2 linked regions of the Diceros bicornis minor genome follow. Each later gene encodes a partner of the first gene's protein in a complex. Links are inferred from orthologs where the notes say so. Each region holds a gene or a part of one and is shown on either strand. Other genes may lie near its edges. The genes, in order: MKI67 and NIFK.

Evidence for each region.
Region 2: the proteins of MKI67 (region 1) and NIFK are in contact, whole or in part, in an NMR structure (PDB 2AFF), measured with the Homo sapiens proteins. The link is inferred for Diceros bicornis minor from reciprocal best matches to the Homo sapiens genes MKI67 and NIFK. Residues at the interface, in NP_002408.3 of Homo sapiens: Thr9, Ile10, Lys11, Arg12, Ser13, Pro18, His19, Phe20, Pro21, Ser23, Leu24, Arg31, Gly32, Ile33, Glu34, Cys35, Asp36, Ile37, Arg38, Ile39, Gln40, Leu41, Pro42, Val43, Val44, Ser45, Lys46, Thr66, Asn67, Ile91; in NP_115766.3 of Homo sapiens: Val228, Asp229, Ser230, Gln231, Gly232, Pro233, Thr234, Pro235, Val236, Cys237, Phe241, Leu242, Arg245, Gln248, Val249, Leu252, Asp256, Lys257, Asp259, Glu260, Ile261, Val262, Phe263, Lys264, Gln265, Pro266, Ile267.

The regions. Positions count from the first base shown.
Region 1 is NC_080745.1:90,449,247-90,459,293, forward strand, and holds the start of MKI67 (proliferation marker protein Ki-67), read right to left. Parts: upstream 4,324-10,047; 5' UTR 4,178-4,323; intron 3,796-4,177; exon of another isoform or gene 3,780-3,795; 5' UTR 3,693-3,779; coding exon 3,601-3,692; intron 1,180-3,600; coding exon 1,101-1,179; intron 1,008-1,100; coding exon 892-1,007; intron 1-891. UniProt on the Homo sapiens protein: Protein that associates with the surface of mitotic chromosomes and acts both as a chromosome repellent during early mitosis and chromosome attractant during late mitosis.
Region 2 is NC_080749.1:11,040,903-11,051,266, forward strand, and holds the start of NIFK (MKI67 FHA domain-interacting nucleolar phosphoprotein), read left to right. Parts: upstream 1-6,160; 5' UTR 6,161-6,204; coding exon 6,205-6,309; intron 6,310-7,208; coding exon 7,209-7,346; intron 7,347-10,364.

The sequences.
Region 1 (10,047 bases):
CTCAGAAAAGCCACACCAGTGGTTTACGTGGTGAGAGAAAGAAGTAGTCATTAGAAGACTCATGAAAGAAGCTTCTGGACATGTTCTGTTTATGGTTTGGGTGGTGTATTAGTTTGCTAGGGCTGCCATAACAAAACACCACACACTGGGGGCTTAAACAACAGAAATTCATTTTCTCACAGTCCTGGAGGCTGGAAGTCCAAGATCAAGGTGACGGGAGGTTGGTTTCCTCTGGGCCTGTCTCCTTGGCTTGCTATGGCTGCCTTCTTCCCGCCTCTTCATACGGTCATCCCTCTGAGCACCTGCTCTCCTGGCTTCTCTCTCTGTATCCTAATCTCCTCTTCTTATAAGGACATCAGTCATATCAGATTAGGGCCCAGCCTAACGCGCTCATTTTAACTTAGTCACCTCTTTAAAGGCCCTGTCTCCAAATACAGTCACATTGTGGGGTACTGGGGGTTAGGAACTCAACATAAGAACTTTGGGAGAGCACAATTCAGTCCATAACAGGTGATCACAAGGGTGTTCAACTCATGATAAATTAGCTATACATCTCATTTTGCATTTTTCTCCATGAGCATAATTTATTTCGAAATAAAAAAGAAACTAAAAAACATATGCAGTTTCACAACAAAATAAAACTCCTTAAGGATCTGGTCACTCCTCTTTTGCACAAGTACGTGCACTCAAATCCTTGAATTGAATCACATAAGCCCCATTTGTCTTTCCTTCTAGATCCATTTGATTTTAGATTAAGAATTACTGTTGATAATGACAACCTCAAACACTGACATTCACCGGGGTTAAAGAAGGAGCACAGATGATGTGTGAGGCTAGTTTTTGGTGACTCAAAAGATCCATTTATTTTCAGCCCAATTAGTTTTTACCTACCTGAAAGATCGATCAACAATGGTTATCACATCGCCATGTTTTAGTCGTATGGGTTCATCAATAGCAGATCCATTTACTTGTGTAGGACTTGTGGAACTGAAATTAAACAATATTGCCTACAAGTAGGAAAAAGGAGGAAAACGTAACTAATATGTAGGTAAAAACTGAAATGAAAAGTTTTAAAAAATAGACTTCTAAATCCCACTTACTGCTTGCTCATTGATTTCAATTTTGCAGTGCTGTTTTGACACTACAGGAAGCTGAATACGGATGTCACATTCGATGCCCCTTTATTGAAAAGAATTAAGATTTTTTAGGTTGGCAATTTTTAAAAACATTAAATCAATGTTTCAAAATAAAACAGCATTTGACTATGTGTTTGATCTGTAAATGTAATGACATAAAGGAGGAACAAATTCATCAATGTAAACAATCTTTGCATCTTACAAACGATTTTTACAAGTATTATATAAGCAATTATTTTAAATCTTAAAACATAGAGGGCTTAAAAATAATTATAATAGAAAATATTAGAATACAAAATTGAATTGCCTTTTAACTAAAATATCTATGGCTATAAGACCCAAATAAAGGAGTAATTTATATCAGCTTGGAGAATAATTATTTTTAATATTCTGTTTTTATTCTGCAAAAAACGGTTTATGTATGTCTATTTGTAATGTTCCGTATGTTTAAAGGTTTAATCATCACCAGAAGTGCAGTATTTCACGCTGGCACCTCTCTGTGCCTCAGTTTCCTCATATACAAAAAGAGAATCACATTAGCAGCCATGTCATAGTGTTGTTCAAAAAATGAGTTACACGTCTGTCACTCGCCTGGCACACAGTCAAAGCTCATTACTTTTGAGCTTTTTATTGTTGTTTTAAAACTACACCATATTAACAGACAGATTCACAAGTCTCCTATCATTAAAAATACTAATCCGCGTGCAACAAAAAAGCATTATTAGATCAACTTGTCTTTCCACAAAGAACATCAGCAGGATGAACCAGACGGGAGATTTCCCAGACCCACGTGGAAACTAACCAGAGGTCCTTAGTGAGGTTCCTTGGGTCTCTGGTGTCCCTGTTACCGTAAGTTTGAACAAGTGTATACTCGCCTCTCTGTTCTCAACATGCACCTACGGAGTCTAAGAATACCATTTCCTACCCATGTCATATGACCAAACACTTATGAACAGGTTTCTAAATTACAAAATCTTGCATAAACATACATTTAATCACTGCTGTATAATAACCAGAATTACTGCCATTTGATACCAAAATGTTTATTTTTACCTTTGAAGAGAAAAGAAGCTAGGGAAAGTGAACAGCTATTTTAAACCAAAGAAGAGAATTTGATTTTTAGGTGTCAGAACATTCCAGCAAGAGAGAAAGAGAGACTGTCTCAGAACTTAGCATTTGTTTGGCAGGAAACCGCCAACTAGAATCACTCTAGATCAGTGGTTCTTAACCTCAGCACTGGTGATATTTTAGGCCAGATAGTTCTTTAAAGTGGGGGCTGTCCCGTACCTTGTAGGACGTTTGGCTGCATCCCTGACCTCGGCTCACTGATGCCAGTGGCATGAGCCTCGTCTCTGCCACACTGTGACATAGAAACATGTCTCCAGATTTTGCCAAAAGTCTCCTGGGGGGCAAAGTGGCCCTATGCTGAGAACCACTGCTGCATATGCTTCCAAATCCAGCCCATGTTTCTAGTGAACACTTACCAGAGTGCTAAATATCAATCCTCTCTCATTTGCCAGACCCCATACCAGGCACCAAGCACATAACTACTAACTAGATATCCCTGTCCCTGGAAAGCTTAGCAGTGGGACAGACAAACCAAAGACTCATCACCATGTGTGGTGTTGGGAAAGACAAGAGCAGTGTTCTTTAAAGGCTTCTTTTCAGGTAACATTTAAAACAATATCTGAAAGTTGGAAAGGAATCACTCACACAGGAGGGTAGAGGGAACATCCCAGTTATATAGTTCAAAATGGCTAAAAGCACAAGGGGAGCCAGAGCTTGGAATTTCTGAGGTGGGGTGGAACATGGTAGGGAGGGAGCTGGTAGGACAGGGTGTGTAGAAGGGGGTGCGGGTCCTAACACACAGGACTCCACAGGGAGGGTGACCTATCATTTGTTAGAATTCGAGTGAAAGAGAATGAAAGAGAGTGCGATTAATAATGTTTCCTGCTATTCAGGGACCACAGCTATCGAGACCAACACCAGAAGGTAACAAAAGAGGAGTTCTCCAAACACTAGCAGGAGGGCTTTCCTCCCATTTTCATTTTTCCGAAAATACCACAAACCGTAAACAGAGCCTCCTTCCTTCCTTTGCTCAACAGTGTCCCCCAGTAGCCAAGGAATGCCAAGTTTGGAGGGATTTCAGATGAACACAATGGTCTTCTAAAGACTGCCTGAAGAGAATCAGGATTTGAGAATCATCTACATTTTTCTCCGTTTAAAGATCTTTATCAAATCAATATTAAAATTTTTGTTTGATTAGAAAAACACAACTGTATAAATATTATTCCCCAAATTCTATTGTGTAATCAACAATTCAGTCCAGTTGACAACACATAGTAAGTCCTGAGTAAACCTGAGGGCAGGAACTACTCCTAGAGCCATGTTTCCAGCCTGTTAATCTGTGATGAAGATATTCAAGTCTTTTTAGCCGAATTGTCCACGCGTGCACAGGGCTCACCTTCCAAACAAGCATGTGCTGAGGCTCAACGGGAAGTGGGGGCCGTCGACCCCGCTCCTTTTGATGGTAACAAGGCGTCCTGTAGGACCCATTTTCTAAACAAGATTTGGAGTATAATCCGTATGGGAATGTCAGGCATCAAAAGGTTCGCTGAAGCAAATTTACAAGCCGCTCTTGCACTGCAGGAACATGCCACTGAGTAAAACAATAATAAAACACGCGGGGGGGGGGGAGATTACCCTGAAAGCAAAGAGCTAAGAAGTCACTTGTAAGTGACCGATTGGAGTCGCTTGTACGATTCCCCATGCCTCTGCCGCCCTGGCCCACACCTCACCTGACCCCTGTGGGAGCCCCAGCCAGGTCCCTGGCCGCCCACCGGAACCCAGCGCCCCCCCAAGACCCGCGGCCAGGAGGCCGCCCACCAGGGCCACATCTCCCAGGAGTTCCCATCGAGACAGGGACCAGGCCGCGCTCCCGGCGCCGGTGCCCGCAGTGCCCGGAGGAGTCCCCGCTGCCCCGGCCCGAAAGGCCGCCCCTCGCTCCCCCCACCCCCAGAGGCGCCCCGGCCGCAGCTCACCTAGGACGAGTCACCGACACTGTCACCAGTGAGTCCACTGCTTGTCAAGGCGCAACCCAAGTCCGCACCGGGAGGAGCCGGACGCGTCCACCTGCGTCCACCACCCGCCCCGCGCTGCAAGGGCCGGGACACCGTCCGCGGGCCCGCACCCACCTCCGCCGCGGCCGCAGTCGGCGCTCCCCCCGCGGTCACCCTCGCCGGTGACCGGGTGGCCCTGCCCAGCTACGTGTCAGAGACGCCCGGCGTCAGCGGCTCGGGCGCGGAAAGCTGCCCGCCTCGCCCTCCCGATTCAAATGAAAACAGCGATTCAAATTTGGCGCTAGGCGCTGCGATTGGACGCGGCGGCGCGGCGGCAGACCAATGGGAAGGAGCGAGAGTGGGGCGGGGGCGGGGCAAGAGGGAACGGAGCGGCAGGCTCCGCGGGGAGGGGCGGGCGGGCTGCGCACCCCAGACGTCTTCTCGGGGTTCTCTCCAGGGACAACACGCAAAAAGGGCGGAAAGGGAACCTGGTCCAGGCGCCGCGAAACCTCTCTCGTCCCCTTTTCTTTAAGGACCTAATACAATAGTACACAATACGTTACTCATTGCTGGAAGGCTTAAAATTTTTTGAAGTTTCTATATCTGCCCAAATATAACCAATCATTATAAGCAATTTCTTGTGTGTTTTCCCAGTTACACATGTATTATTCTCTTTCAAAAATACACTAAAAAGATCATAATATACACATTGTTCTGTACTTTGTGTTTTCTGCTTAATAAACCCTGAAGATATTGAGTACATCTTCCCTTTTTACTTTCTTTTTGATGGCTGCAGAGTATTATGCTTTAGGAAAATATAATTTACTTAATCATTACTATTGCTGTACATATAGGTTTACAATGTTTTCCTATTCGAAAAAAATTCTCCAGTTAAAAAACCGTGTGCATTACCAATTGGATCAATCCTGAAATAACCACAGGATTCCTCTCTGGAGTCACCTGCCCCGCGGGAGGAGGAGCGGGGTGGGGGTGGGGGGTTTCCTGTGGGCCAACGTGGTGTGAAGTTAATAGAGCGAAAACGTGCCTTGGCAATGCCAGCCCTCCAGGTCACCTCCCTCCAGCTCTCCCCACACCCTTTGGAGCTCGGCTGTCTTTGATCAGGAGCAATAGTTCTCACAGCTTGGCCTGGGGACCCCTGAGGATGTCTGAGATCCTTGCAAGGGGTCCATGAAGTCAAAGCATGTTTGTAATAACGCCGGACGTTCTGTGCCCTTTGCACTCTCGTTTTCTCTTGCATGTAGGGTGGAGTTTCCTGAATGCAGAAGCAGATGTGAGAATCCAGCTATCTTTTACTAAATCAGGTATTACAGAGATTTCAAAAAATAGAAAACAATGCTGCTCTTTTCACTATTTTTTTTGTTTTGGATAATATAGATATATTTCATAAAATATGTTTTATGTTAACTTGAAATGGGTTCATCATTGCTTTAAAATGAATTGACAAATGAAGTTTTTGAAATTATTCACTTAATAATCTGCATTAGCAGAAATTCTTAGTGGTTCTCAATGATTTTTAAGAGCCTAAAGGGGCCCTGACACCAAAAAGTTTGAGCCTTTCTGCTCCTGAGTGACAACGTGGAGACAGACTGCCTACGGGAATACGGAAATCTAGAATTTGGCAACGTGAATGTGCAGGATTTCCAGCTCTTAGTTGTCTGTGATGAGGCTGATATAATTTAAATGCATGGATACTATTAACCTTCTTTAGGGGATTAGCTTGCATTTCCTTCCCCTTTACACTAGCCAAGAAAGCTCATCTCTGAACAACCCGGTAAAATGCTGCTTTTGTCATTCTCATTACCGCTTGTTATCGGAGACTGTTCGGTGACCCTGGTCGGGGCAGCCTAATTAGAACTAGGAGGTGCTAGACTTCCTGGCAAATAATCTTACAAACATTGTGCCACACACATATTCAGTTCTCAAGAGAAAACGGGAAACTATAGAGAAAACTTAGGGAATTGTCTAAGTGGTGGATCTTAGATCTGCGGGACAGCCCTCTTTAAACCGTTTGATGATATACTTTAGCAGTGGTGTTTTCTGTTGCATTTGAAGCTTGGTCCACAGCCCAGGGCTTCATTAAAACAGATCTCCCTCCTGTCACCAGAATCCCTGCACCATTTGCAGGGCTGGGGTCTGGACCTGGGGCTCCTCTTCAGCACTGTCAGAGTCTTGAATAGGGTGTGGAATAGGGATCCTATAGTTAGAGCACCAAGGACCCAGGATGGGCAGGAAAAGGCTTTCCACGGAGTGTGTGGACCTAGGGCATTTCCAGAGAATCAATTTCCAGATCCTCACAGTCTCCACGCACTCATGCCTAAAATCAGTCAGCCGAGAGAAAGTGTCTCCGTCGGAATTCCCTGCCCCTGGGCTCCTTCTCCCTGCCCTCGCCGCTGCCAGTTAGCAATCTCACCTGCCTGAAATTTACTACGGGGAAGTGTCCCAGGCACCCTATAAGGGACCACTCAACAATTCCTTTAAACTCCGTGCCCATCTACCTGATTCGTGGCTGTATTTTCAAACAACTGAGTATATATCTAATAAATATTTATCACATTTGAAACGTATATGTTGTTTGGTCATCTGTGTTCCAGGAAGTATTATACTCTGTAATCCCTGACACCGGGTCCAGCCAGTGGTGGAAAGGCAGGGACGTGGAGGGACCTCGCAGGGCGGGGGCGTCCGGGCGTCCCTCCAGGGCCGGTTGTGCCCCCTACTCGTCCGGTCAGTCTAGGACCCCGGCACCCCAGGAAACGCACGGGGCAGGTGCTCTAAGTTCCCGGGATGCCTCCAGTTCCAGCCAGGTGCCCTGGCCCTGGGACCCTCCAACGGTTGCAGGTAGGGGTCTCGGCGCCACTCAGCCGGCCCCTAGCCTCCCAACTTCACTTTCCCTCCCTGTCTTTTAATCACCCCCCTCCTCCTGCCAGCCTTCCAATCAGGAGAGACAAAGTGAGGGTGGGGGATGGGAAAGGCGGCCCAGGGGTGGGGCTGGGGTCCTTTTGAAATGGATCCGGCATGCACTTCCCTCCTGGAGGTCAGCTGCATGGCTGAGACCCTGGAGACCCCTAGATGCCCCGTCGTTGTGAGCTGCAGCCCCGACGCCCAGGCGCTGACCCGGCCCCAGGGCACCTGCCTGGCTTCAACCACCAGCCCCAAAGCTGGACTTGCTTCCCAGGGTCCCAAGCCCTGGTCGCTTCGAGTTCGGGGCTCCCCGAGAGCAGGATCTCAATCGCTTCTCTCCCAGGTCAGAAGCTGGACTGCTTCTCAACCATTCCCTTTCGCCAGACTTCCATAGGGGAGTTGACCAGGTGGTCTGTGGGGTTGCCCCTCCCTGTCCATCCATCCCCTGTCCTGTGCCCCCAGACCTCCCAGTCCCTTCCCCCTCCCCCCACCTCAAATTCTGTTGGCCCTTCCCCATTCCGTAAGTCTTAACTCTGAAGACGGTGTGATAGAACCCTGCTGACCTCTGCGACCTCAACCCAGGCCCCTCTGTAGGGCGATCACCACAGACAGACCTGCTGCAAATTGCTCCCAGATCATGTGACTTCCTGGTTTTTTCCTTCAGAGGTTGCTAATGACTCAGAATAGAACCAAAACTCCTGCCTGGCCCTATGGGACCATATGTGACCTTGGGTCTCCTGCCTCCTTGGCCTCCTTGATCTGAGTTCTCTCCCTGTGCTCCAGCCCCCTGAGCTTCTTCCTTCCTCAAAGGGCCCAGATCCTTCCAGCCTCAGGGCTGTTGACTCTGCCGCTCCCTCCACCTGGAGCCCTTCCCCTGGCAAGGAGAGGAGGTGAGCTTTGCAGACTGGATGAATCAGCCCTAGAACAGGTAGTTTAAGACCCCACCTGGAGAAGAGTGCCCCTGGATGTGCCCTGACCGGTGAAGGCCGCTCCAGCCAAGGGGGGCTTCTACATCACCCAAACACACCACACTCGACTGAACAGCCTGGAGAAAAGGGGCACCAGGACATTGATTCCTACTCTATGAGTTTAGAAAAAGAAATTGGGAATAAATACGGCATTGAAAAACATGAAAGAAATTTTGAAAAGCATTTTTTAATTTGAGAAGCTAATACTATATATTTTCGTCATAGGATATTTGGAAAATATACAAATGTAAAAGGAAGAAAGAGTTACCTCAAGACGTGCAAGAAATACCATCATATTTTTCTCTGTATAATCTTTATTTTACATTAGAAGCATTACACATCTATGTATATACATGCACCATTTTATTTCCTAAGCTTTCATTTAGCATTAAAATGTAAGCATTTTCTCCTTCACTTTTGGTGAATACCAATTTGATAACCCTATTTCCCTGTGTTTGAACATTTAAGTTTTTTCCTAACATTTTATTATTACTAATAATGCTGTGATGAACATTTTGAGCAAAAATTTTGTTTTGATATAATAGGCTATGTTCTTAGTTTATATCTCCCAAAATCTACTTGCTGGATTCAATAATATTTGCTTCATGTCATCTAATTGCTTGCTTTTCAAACGGGTTGTAACAATTTTTCTACCCAGTTCAATGCTTGAGAATGCCTTTTTTACTACCAGCTTTTTGCATTCACATTTTAAATTCTCTTCTAATTTGAATAAATGGAATATTGTTTCATTTTGAATTTTAAAATTACTAGTAAGGTTGAACACTTTTCCTTACCTGTTTAAACTTTCATCTTTTGATAATAGTCTTTTTGTGCCATTTGTCTAATTATCTGTTAATGTCTTAGAGTTTTCTTCATCAATTTATTTGGTAAATATATAAATCCTTGTTCTGCAGAGTTAGTAGAATTTTAAAAGTCAGTCATAAAGCCAAGAACATTTAAAGCCACTTGTGGGATTCCTTGAATAAACGTGTATAAAGAGTAAAGCTCTCCAGCTCTCCCAGAAAATTCTATGTGTGGCTGACATTCATGGTGGGGGCAGGGGGCCCAAAAACAGCTGTCTTCAAAGATGACCGAAAAGCCCACAGAGAAACTCCCAGAGAAGGGTCACTTGAGTGTAAAATGGGAAAATAAAGATAAAATAAGGTTAGAAAGGATATCAGGTGCACCTTGATCCCTGTGCAGGAATGGCTTCACTTCGAGTGGGGGACACTGGCATATCTACAGGCAAGTGACAGCACGGGGCTCTGCCAGCTTATATAAATGCTCGAAAGATGCTGAATGAAATCGTTGCTTCACAGGCAACTGACAGAGAAGGAAACAATGCAATGGAGAACGTTGTTACCTCCAGGCGTAAATGCTGTGTGAGTAGTTAAACTAGATCGGTAATTGATAATCCAATATAAAAATCATTCTTTGCATTGTCAAATGTTTGAGTAACTAACAATCTGACACTTTCCATTCTGTGGTCTTCATACTTCTTGACTCCCAGGGCCCAAGGGTGCCCCTGGAGAGCATCTCATAGACCCTCCTTCCTTAACTTGAGGGGGGTGTCATTATTGAAATTCGTCTGGAAAGGAGATTTCACAAACCGTTTTTTAGTATCTGGTTCTTACAAAATAAAGAGAAAGATCTGTGAGTTTAAGTTGAGATATCTGAATTGCTTGAGAACAGAATTTCAACAATAATGATCAAAACTTTAATAATTAGTTCAGAGAAGTTTTTATCCGATAGTAACTGTTTTTTACTTTAACAAAATATTTAGAGACGATCAATGATTATTTATACGTAGTTATTAGAGGATCGCACAATTCTAAGCATATTACTACCTTTGGTAAAGCCCTCATTAGAGTCGTCACTAAAATTTGCCTTTGAAACATTGGAAATTTCTTGGTAGGGAAAAGAAATTTTCCTTGAGACTCCTTTCTCTTTTGCCAGTTAAAAAAA
Region 2 (10,364 bases), on another chromosome or scaffold:
CCAGTCAGTGTGGAAACCCCTAATGCCCCCAGCCTTTCCAAATGCTGCTAAGGGGGCAGAATCACCCCTCCCCCACCCCACTGAGAACCTTTCTCAATACCTGGCAGCCACTCAATAGATATGTGGTAAATGAATCAACTTTGCCAAGTTGCCCTCCAGTACAGTTGTAACAGTTTACACGCTGTTTTAATGTGTAAACGTCTTTTAAGCACTAACAATCTGATCAGGGAGTAAGGGAACCTCATTTAACTTTTCAATTTATATTTGAAAGATTTTTCTTATGTATATTGAAATTCCTTTTGGGAATTCTCTATGTTTTTTATACATCTTTCTATTAAAGTTTTCATCTTTCTCTTATCCATTTCTAATAAACTTTGTCACTTAAAAATTAACATTTTCTCACTTTTTTACAATTTTTAAAATAATTTTTGAAATGCAGACATTGTTAATGTGATTTTATTTGTCAAAAGGACATGCCATGTTTATTAACCCAGTTAGTCCCTTATCATAGGCTATTTTGGTTGGTTCCAATTCTTTCTATTATAAATAACATTGTGATGAAATTCTTTGTAAGCCCTTATCAGGATGTAAGATCATTTCTTTTGATAGGTCCTATTTTTAAAGTTCTTGACATATTTTGCCAAATCACTATGCAGACAGGTTGAACTAATTTCTACTCTCCTGCCCACCAGGGCCTGAAGGAGCCAACTTGACTGCACTCTCCCCAATGTGAATGTTAACACTGCAGACATTCTGGGCTAATTTAAGGGTGAAATTATACCTCATTTAATAGCATGGAAGACTATGTAATGAGTGGTGCACTTCTGCAAGGTTCCTTGGAGGGCAAGAGCGGGTGGAAACAGAATACTGCTTGGGAGTTGTATCCTGCAGTCTGAGAACAGGAGAAGGGGGTTAGGGAGTCAGAGGAAAGAGGGAGATAGGCCTCGGGCTGTGCCTCATTTGTACCCATGGGGTTTTAATTTATAGAGGTGACTGAGTGACAACCAGAGAGGCCAGTGCCATTGAAAGAAGAACTTATTACTTACATTTCTCAAGAGGACAGGGCATGCCATGCCATGCAGGGCCACAGGGGGGAAGCACCAGGTCTGGTCAGGAGGCAGAAGCAGGAGTGAAGGACAGCCTAAGTCAGAGCCTTTATTGGGTTTCTGAGGGAAAGGCAAGGCAGGGTAGGGTCATAGCTTAGGATTGGCCAGTTTGAGTAATTCTGGTGGGCTCTAGGCTGGGAATATTGGCTGGTGTGCGAGTCAGATAAGGAGGGGGCATATGAAAGGGGTGCTCCAGGGTGATCCCTTTGATGTCTCTCAGAATTGGCTAGCCCTGGGAGGGACAGTCTCTCCCCAGCCAGCAAGCTTTTTAAGGTGTCAAAACATCAAAAATACAGAGAATAAAAAACATGATTAATACAGGCTAGGAAGAGGGCACCACGATGCTACTGCAGGCCCCACGGGACCCAGGATGCCAGGACCCAACCCTGTACTGAAGGGCAGGAAAGGATCCAGGGGTGGAGGAAGTGGTTTGTGAGTCAGCACAGGGGTCTTCAGAGGGAATCGGGACCTCTGGGCACCCCTCATTCTCCACTCTCCCCAGCCCCCCTCCCCAGGGCTCCACCCAGCTTCACTCAGGTCACACTTGGGGTCTGGACTTGGGGCTGTGCATGATGTTAACCTGGCACAGAGCAGGATGTAGGCAAAGGTGACAGTCATTCACAAGGACAAAGGAAGAAAATCTTTCTCGTGGCTTCAGGACACACGGCCCTGAATGGTCTGCAGACTGAATTTTAGTTTGTCAGGTGACATTTTATTGAGGCTGCACTGAGTTTCTCCCCACTTCTTCCCCTGGAATTGCCCGTTTCAGGCCCATCTCCAAAATCTGAGCAAGGGGCAGCTGGGCAGGGCCGAGCAGGCTGACTCTGATGGCTGGGCCCACTATCCAGGGTGGCACGTTGGATGACCACACAGGGACCAGGCAGAGAGGAAAACACGGGAGGGGGAAGGTGGGCCGGGCCCACGTGTGTCCCTTCTCCTGCCAGCCCTCAGCCCCACCCCACAGAGCCCTCCCTCCTAAGGCCCAGCCCCCTGGACACAGCACACCCTGCCTCACCCTGCTGCTTGCCCAGCTCTGCTGCCCGCCCCACCTCATATCCCAGCCACCAGCCCTCACCATGCTGGGCCCCCAGCAGGTGTTCCAGCCCATAGGCGGTGATGGTGGCATCACAGGAAAGACACGTGACCATTCCATCCCAGCAGAGGGGTGGCATAGGAGGTCAGTGGGGGAAAAGGAAGGGAAAGTCCTGCAGTAAGCACATTTAATAGTCCACTCAGGGGTGTGTGGCAGTGCCTGGAGCCATTCTGGTTGTTACAATGACTGGGGTGCCACTGGCATTGAGTGCCAGGGGACAGGGTACCAGGGTGGTATGTATGGGACAGTCCAGCTCAGTGAAGAACAGTCCCTCCCAAGGTGTCAGTAGCCTCCCCACCTCCATGCAAAAAGAGAAAGGGGGGGGGGAGGGAGGGAAGAAGAGAAGGAAGGGAGGGAAGAAGGAAGAAGGAGGAAGAGAAAAGATAAGGAAGGACAAACACACACAGCCCCAGCCTGTCACCTGGCATGAAGAAGGCAAGCTGCCAGTCTGAGCATTAGTAGTGTTGCTGCTGCCACTAAGGAGTGAAGACTCCCCCAGGGAGACCTTAACAACCGTCCCAGCCAAACCCTTCTTCACGGATGAGGAGACTGAGGCCCTCCTGGAGAGAGGGCCATCTCCCCCAGGCACATCCCAGGGCGGTAACGGGTTTCTGGGCTCTCTGACCAGGATACCACATCAACTCCTGTGATCACCTACCTAGGTCCCAGAGTGACCCTTGGGCCCTGGGTGGCAGAATGAGATGTTACCCAGCAGGGCCACAGCGAACGTCAGTGGAAATCACTGTTAACTGAGAGTGACTGGCCAAGGCTCAAAGGGGAAATGAAAGCAGGTCCGGTCTGGGCTGCGGTGAGGATTCGGGGCCTGAGACTCCGTCCCCAGTTAAGGGCTGACTTCTATGGTCTGGTGAAGGGCCAAGGAGAGGGTGGCCCGGCATCCTTCTGGGAACATCCAGGAGCTCCTCTGGCACCTGGCCTTCATGGGTAGCTCCCAACAGCCAAGACAGGCCCAGGACCAGTGTCTGCCTCAGAAAACCCCTTCAGGCGGCACCCACCATGGTGCTGTATTCATTTCCTAGGGCTGCCATTACAAATCACCAAAACTGGGGGGCTTAAAACAACAGAAACTTATTCTCACAGTTCTGGAGACTAGAAATCCAAACCCAAGATGTTGGCAGGACGATTTTCTCTCCAAAGGCTCTAGGGAAGAATCCTTCTCTACCTCTTCCCAGCTTCCAATGGTTGTCAGCAATCCTTGGCGTTTCTTAGCTTGCAACTGCCTCTCTCCCATCTCTGCCTTCATCATCACTGTGGTGTTCTCCGTGTGTGTGTGTCTGTGTGTGTGTGTGTGTATCCAAATTTCCTTGTTTTTATAAGGACACTAGTTATTGGATTAGGGCCCACCCTACTCCAGCATGACCTCGCCTTAACTTGATTACATCTGCAAAGACCCTATTTCCATCACATATACCGGGATTAAGACTTGAACATCTCTTTTGGGGGAACACAATTCAACCCAGCACAGTGATCAATTGCCCGAATCCCTCCTACTACTACTCCAAGTTTGGTCCACGGAGCATCAGCCTCACCGGGGAGCTTGTTAGAAACACAGAACCTGGGGCCCCACCCCAGAGCTAGGAATCAGAACTGGCCATGTAACAAGACCCCCAGGAAATCTACATGCTCATTGTTTTGTTTTCTTTTGTTTTGCTGAGGAAGATTCACCCTGAGCTAACATCTGTTGCCAATCTTCCTCTTTTTGTATGTGAGCCAACACCACAGCAAGGCCCTTGACAGACGAGTGGTGTAGGTCTGCGCCTGGGAACCAAACCTGGGCTGCCGAAGCACAGCACACAAAACTTAACCTCTAGGCCACTGCGGCTGGCCTCTCATTCAGTTTTGAGAAACCTTGGGTCACCACCCACCTGGGGGATGTAACGGGAGGCCAGGAATTCATGGAGGTGGTTGCAAAAACTGGAAAGAGGATCTCCCAGAAGAGAACTGTCACTTTGCTGTCTTCCCTTCTCTGCTCCTCCCTACCTCTCTCTTCCCCTTAGAAGCTATGAGATATGTCAAGTTTCATCCTTGGGAAAGAGGGGAGTGTTCACACACACACACTCAAGGGAGGGGCCTTTAGGGAACCAACAGCTTGTTCTGTGTCCTCTGGAATTTGGGGGATACAGGCACCCATAAGTGACTCATAAATCAAACATCTAACTTTGACCAGCCAGGAGGCCCACCCTACAGCAATGCAAAGAGGAAAAAGCATCTCCTACAACAGAGAGGACAAAAGATGTGGCCCTTACTAAAGGATCAGGATGGGGTCAGCTTAGAAAGGCCCTTCCAATAGGAGCACCTGGACACACAGCTGACCTAAGCAGGCAGGTGGTACCACAGGCAGGCAGGCTAAGCCATGAGCAGCCAGGCGAGGGAACACCTCAAAAGTATGCCTGGAAAGAGTGAGTCAGCAACCAAGGATGCGCCCCACCTGAAGCTCCCCAACCACATGGCACCTGCCAGTCAAGGAGCCCCTTCCTGCCGCTTCCTTGCGCTCTCCCCATCTCAATCATGGAGAAGCCAAAAAAGAAACTGGGGTGCAGGGGACAAGGTGAAGCCAGAGAGACAATGTCAACTGTGACTCCTTGAGAGATTTCTCACCTGAGACAGGTCCGAGTGTGGGGAGAGGAGACACTTGCTGTCAGATTTTGAACACCCTGAAAACATTTCTATACACTGATATCTGAGGAGCTCTCCCCAAGATTTCGTCCAGGGGGGAGAAGGAACAAGTCCATGAAAAGAAGCAGTCCTGAGAAAGAATAAAATTGCTCTCTGCTTGCACTCTCCTGAAAATCCAGCTTGTTCATGAAAACGCCATTGTAAGAGAGTATTTAATAGGAGGAGGTGACCTCGGCAACAGGGTCGCAGAGGGCTTCCCTGACAGGTGACAGTTGAGCTGAGCTGGGGTGTGACTGGGGTGAGGGACGCAAAGGCAGGCAAGTGGCTCCCAGAGGAAGCACGCTGGCCCTCACTGTACAATCGCTCCCACGCCACTCTACCCTACAGTTACCATCCACTCTTCCCACAGGTACCCCTGGGCACCAGCCAAACTCAGCCCTCATTGGTTCCAGAACACCTGCCACCACCATCCCCCAGAGCAGCTCTGCTTTGACTATTGCTCTAGCCTCGTCCCCACCCCACCCCACGCCACCCCCGCTTCCTCTGCTATCCACCTTCCACCCTTACTAGAGTAGTAGTTGAAAGGTACAGCCACAGCCTTGCTTAAAACCCTCACACCCCCTGCATTTACAATAAAACCCAAGCTTTAAACCTTGACACAGAGCCCTGGAGCTCCAGCCTGCCCCCTTGCCCCTCTCCCTCACACGCTGAGCTCCAACCACAGTGGCCGACTCCTTCTTTCCAGCCGTAAGGACACTGTACACGCTGTCCCTCTTGCCTGCACGGTGGGCTTCCAGGTCTGCACAGGCTGCTCCTTCCAGCCTTCAGGTCTCAGTTCAAATGCCACCTCCTCCAGGAGGCCCTCATTGGTCACCAGTGTGCTTCCCCCCTCCACGGGGCTCTTATGTCTCCCATTACACCAATCCCACCCTCAAACGTCCTTTATCCACCCACTCCCCATCCCCCCCCACCCACCCAATCTGTATGTTACCTAAGGGCAGCAGCAGCAGGACACACAGTAGGCTCAGAAACGAGCGAGTGAAAAAAGGAAATAAAAAAGAATTAAAGAATGGTTAGCAAGACCTCAAAAGCACGGATATTGTTTGGGATTTATTTTTAAACCCCCTTTGAAATTGGCTGGCCGCAAAGCAAGCGTGAACAAACTACCGTCTGCCATTTTAGGCAGGCGGTCAGCGCGAGAGCGAGGCCAAAGGGCACCCGGCCCGCAGGGGGCGCCCGAACTCGCCCAGCCCCGCCCCCGCGCCCCGCGCGTCGCCGCGCACGTCCCGCCTCACTTCCGCTTCGGAGGAACTCAGGGCTCGGCATTTCCGGACGCGCCGCGTGGAGCTGGTCGTCTTGGGGACTTGCAGCATGGCGGTCTTTGCGGGCCCCGCCAAGACTCTCCTGTCCCTGAACCCACAGGAGGACGCCAAGTTTCAGAAGGAGGTGGCGCAGGTTCGCCGGCGCGCCACCCAGGTGAGCGGCCGCCACGGCCGGGCTGCGAGGGGAGGCGGCGGGCCGGGTCTGGGCCGCGGGGACGCGCGGGCCCGGTGCCGCGCCCTGCTGCCCCCGGGATGGCCTCGGGTGAGCGCCGACCTCGCGAGTTTGTAGGCCGAGCCCCCGAGACGGAGTGTGCGCTGACTGGGAAATGGGGGTGGGCTGTGGCCGCGGAGGTCTTAGAGTCCTCCCGTGGACTAAGGGTGAGGTGTGGGGGGACGAGAGGAGCAGGAGCCAGCTGGGACGGGCCCTCTCGGTCCACGGATTAGAGCTCCCACGCGTCCGCCTGGCCCCCGAATTCAGAGAGTTCATATGTCTGGTTGGTAGTTTGGAGACAGTATTTGCCAAGTTCCGTTTGCTGATTAGGGCCCCTGACGTCAAGTTATAGTTGTCTTGATTTTTAGCAGGAAATACACGTTTGAAAACTTAAAAGTTGTAATAGAAGGCAAGGACATGATGACAGACGCTGAAAAGTTCGTTGGCGTTGTGAAGGGTTACGGAAGTTTCGAAATTGTTTGGTTAGGTGGGTGCGAGTCAACAGCGATCCGCATACAGAGGTGAAGGGTACTTTTATGTGGAGTTCTCCGGCCTGAAGATTTAAAATAGTGTGTTCAAAGACTTGTTGATTCAACGTATAGTTATCGAGCATGAACATTGTGCGGCGTGCTGGGACACAGGCTGAGAAGACAATCCGCTGTGATGATTGTCCTCGTGGGGAGATGGACATTAAACAGCTAACTCTTTAGTTACTGTTCTGCTAAGTGGAAATAGTGGCTAGGCTCTTGGTCTCCTCTTGAGAGTTAGGGAGGTTTGCAAGTTTTGTTGCAATGTGATTTTTTTTAATTGAAAAAGTAATTATCTGTTTTTTATGTTTTCAGCGACAGGAGAAAAAAAAACTCACTCCTGGAGTAATCTATGTGGGCCACCTACCTCCAGCGCTTTACGAAACCCAGATCCGAGCATATTTCTCGCAGTTTGGCACTGTTACAAGACTTAGACTGTCCAGAAGTAAAAGGGTAAGATTTTTGTGTTGAATTTAGATTGTCTGTTTGTTTCTTTAAAAGGATGTCATCCTTGATAGTTGAGAGCATGTCCACATATTATTGTTTATCAGACTTTGCTCCAGAAAAGGGAGGTGGATGAGGTTTAGAACCTGAAACAACCACAAAAGCAAAATCAGTATTATTGTAAATGTTTACTTTATTTAAAAAAAAACGTGGGGGCTGGCCCCATGGCCTAGTGGTTAAGTTCAGCATGCTCTGCTTCAGTGGCTTGGGTTTTCGGGTTTGGATCGCAGGCACGGACCTACACCATTTGTCAGCCATGCAGTGGCCGCGACCCACATACAACATAGAGGAAGATTGGCACAGATGTGAGCTCAGGGCCAATCTTCCTCGAGAAAAAAAAGTGATTGCCCCAAATCCTCAAATTAAATTGACAATCCTAGTAAATAAATCATATTTATTTTATGGCTACTGAGCCAGGTGTACATGAACTTCAGTTTGAGGAGCGGTTCATACATCATCTTGTATTACCCTTTGGTGTAGGCACCCCGTAATAGCAAAAGTTTGTATAGTGAATAGTTAAGGATGAGGACACTGGAGCCAGACTACCTAGGTTTGAGGCCTGACTCTACAGGTTACTAGTTGTACGACCTTGGACAAATTATGTAACCTCTGCATGCATCGGTTTTCTGATTTGTAAAATATGAGTAAAAGAGCACCAACCTCCTAGGAGTATCTAGTGAAAGATTAAACACGGGGTAATGAATGTAAGGTTCTTAGAGCAATGCCTGATAACACACAGTAAACACTGTATAAATGTTATTGTTATATTATCTCTATCTCCTGATAAAAAATGGTTTATGTGGTTTGTATCAGTAAAGGAGGAGTGGCCCACTTTATTTTCTTCCTGCACACATAAACTTTAATTGGTTGTAACCATAGACCTCTCATTGTTGGAATCTCTGGGGGTTTTTTGTTTTTTTGTTTTTGTGAGGAAGATCAGCCCTAAGCTAACATCCGTGCCTATTTTCCTCCACTTTATGTGGGACGCCACCACAGCATGGCCTGACAAGCGGTGCGGAGGTGCACACCCGGCATCCAAACCTGGGCCGCCAGCAGCAGAGCGCGCATTTAACCTCTACGCCACGGGGCCGGCCCCTCTCTGGGGGTTTTTTGATACAGTTTTTCCGCATTTTCCTGCCTGAGTTATAACAAATCAAAGTTAAATTTTATATTTGATTTGGCATGTGAGGGGATAGGGTATGTGTCCATCATCTGCTAGTTGTTATAAAACCACAGGTATTAAATGTTGTCAAAGCAACACGTCAGCATTAAAGGGAATTTTAAATTTAAAGTGCCCTAGTATTTCTTCCATCCTAACGAAAATAACATATTTTCTTTGTATTCCTTCCCTTTTATTCCATTTGCTTATTTGTAGTGGTTTCTTATTAGGTGGGTGAGATATTTCAAACCTCCTGAAGTCTGCTAGAGAGTGATTTAGTGACTGTTCAGGTATCTGCCGTTCACCTTTATCAGATGTCAGCTTCATCTCAAACTTGCTCCAGATCTTTGTTCTTTAAGAAATGGATTATAGGTGAACTTGAGGTCCCTTTGTACCCTTCCCCAGTCCTCTGCACCTTCTCCCCATGCCCAGGGAATTAGTATTCATGAATTCAGTGTTTTTCATTGCTGTGTGTGTTTTTCAATTTTTACTACATACTCATGTATCAATATACATTGTACATTATTGTTTTAAATCTATATTAGTTATATATTTTATTCTGAAACTTAATTTTTTCATTCAACTGTCTGCTCTGAGCTTTATTGATACAGCTCTAGCACATTCATTGTCATTGCTGTGTCCTTTGCTTGAACATACTAAAGTTCATTTATCTGTCTTCTATTGAACATGAGGGTTTTGTGTTTTTTTTTTTTACAGTTTTTCACTGTTATACGTGAAGCCACTAAGAACATTCTTTGTGCAGGTGTAGGCAAGTTTCTCTAGAATAATATTTTTCAGACTTTTGACCCACAAGAAGAAGTAAGGTACACCACAAGCCAGCACACATATACGTGTATGTAAACATAAGTGAAATAAAAGTCATACGAGATAATACTTAACCTTTCTATTCGGTTTTTTAGAAATACCTTTCTGACCTACTAAATTGATTTTGTTTTCCTCTAAAAGGTCAGACTCTCAGTTTGAAAGATACTGCTCTACAGCTTATCCTCAGAATCACTGAGTATAAAATGGTCATGGTTTTTTTATCTGCCTTATTAGTGAGGTTAGTATCATTAGGTGTTTATTGGCCGTTGGAGTTCTCTCTTCTGTGAATTGCCTATTCATGTCTTTTGCCGTTTCTTATTATTGTCTTTTTCAAAAACTCTTTTCCTGCCTTTTGTGGGACGTTATTTTATAAATGTTTTCCCATATTGCAGTGTAGTCATTGTTCCCCCGCCTCAGCTTTGTATTTTGAAAATGTTCAATGTTGAAGTCTACAGAGAGATAGAAAGAATAGTATAATGAACATCCCTACCCCTCGCCTGGATTCACGCATTATCGACATCCTGACAAGTAGCTTCATCTTTCTCCATATCTATAAAAACATACACACTTTTTGAGCCTTTTGAAGAAAGTTGCAGTCATAATACTTTCTAAATGCTTCATCATAAATCTACCCAGAATAAGGACATTCTCTTCATAACCACAATGTAATAATCTATACAGTGTACTGTCCACCTTTACATATCCCTAATAGTTCCAGAAAAGTCTTTAGCTATTTTTTTCCCTCCCTATTCTGGAATCTGGTCGAAGTTTGTGCATTTATTTGGTTGTTAGAGCTCTTCAGCTTATCTGGGAACAGTTTCCTTGTCTGCTTGTTTTGTTTTCCTTGACATTGGCTTTTTTGGAGAGTTTGGTCCAGTTGTCTTGTAGAAAGCCTGTTCCTTGAGGAGATGCACTAAAATTTTACCATTTGCACCAGTGTTACATAGGAAAGCTGCTACCTTTCTGTTCACCCCAATTTTGAC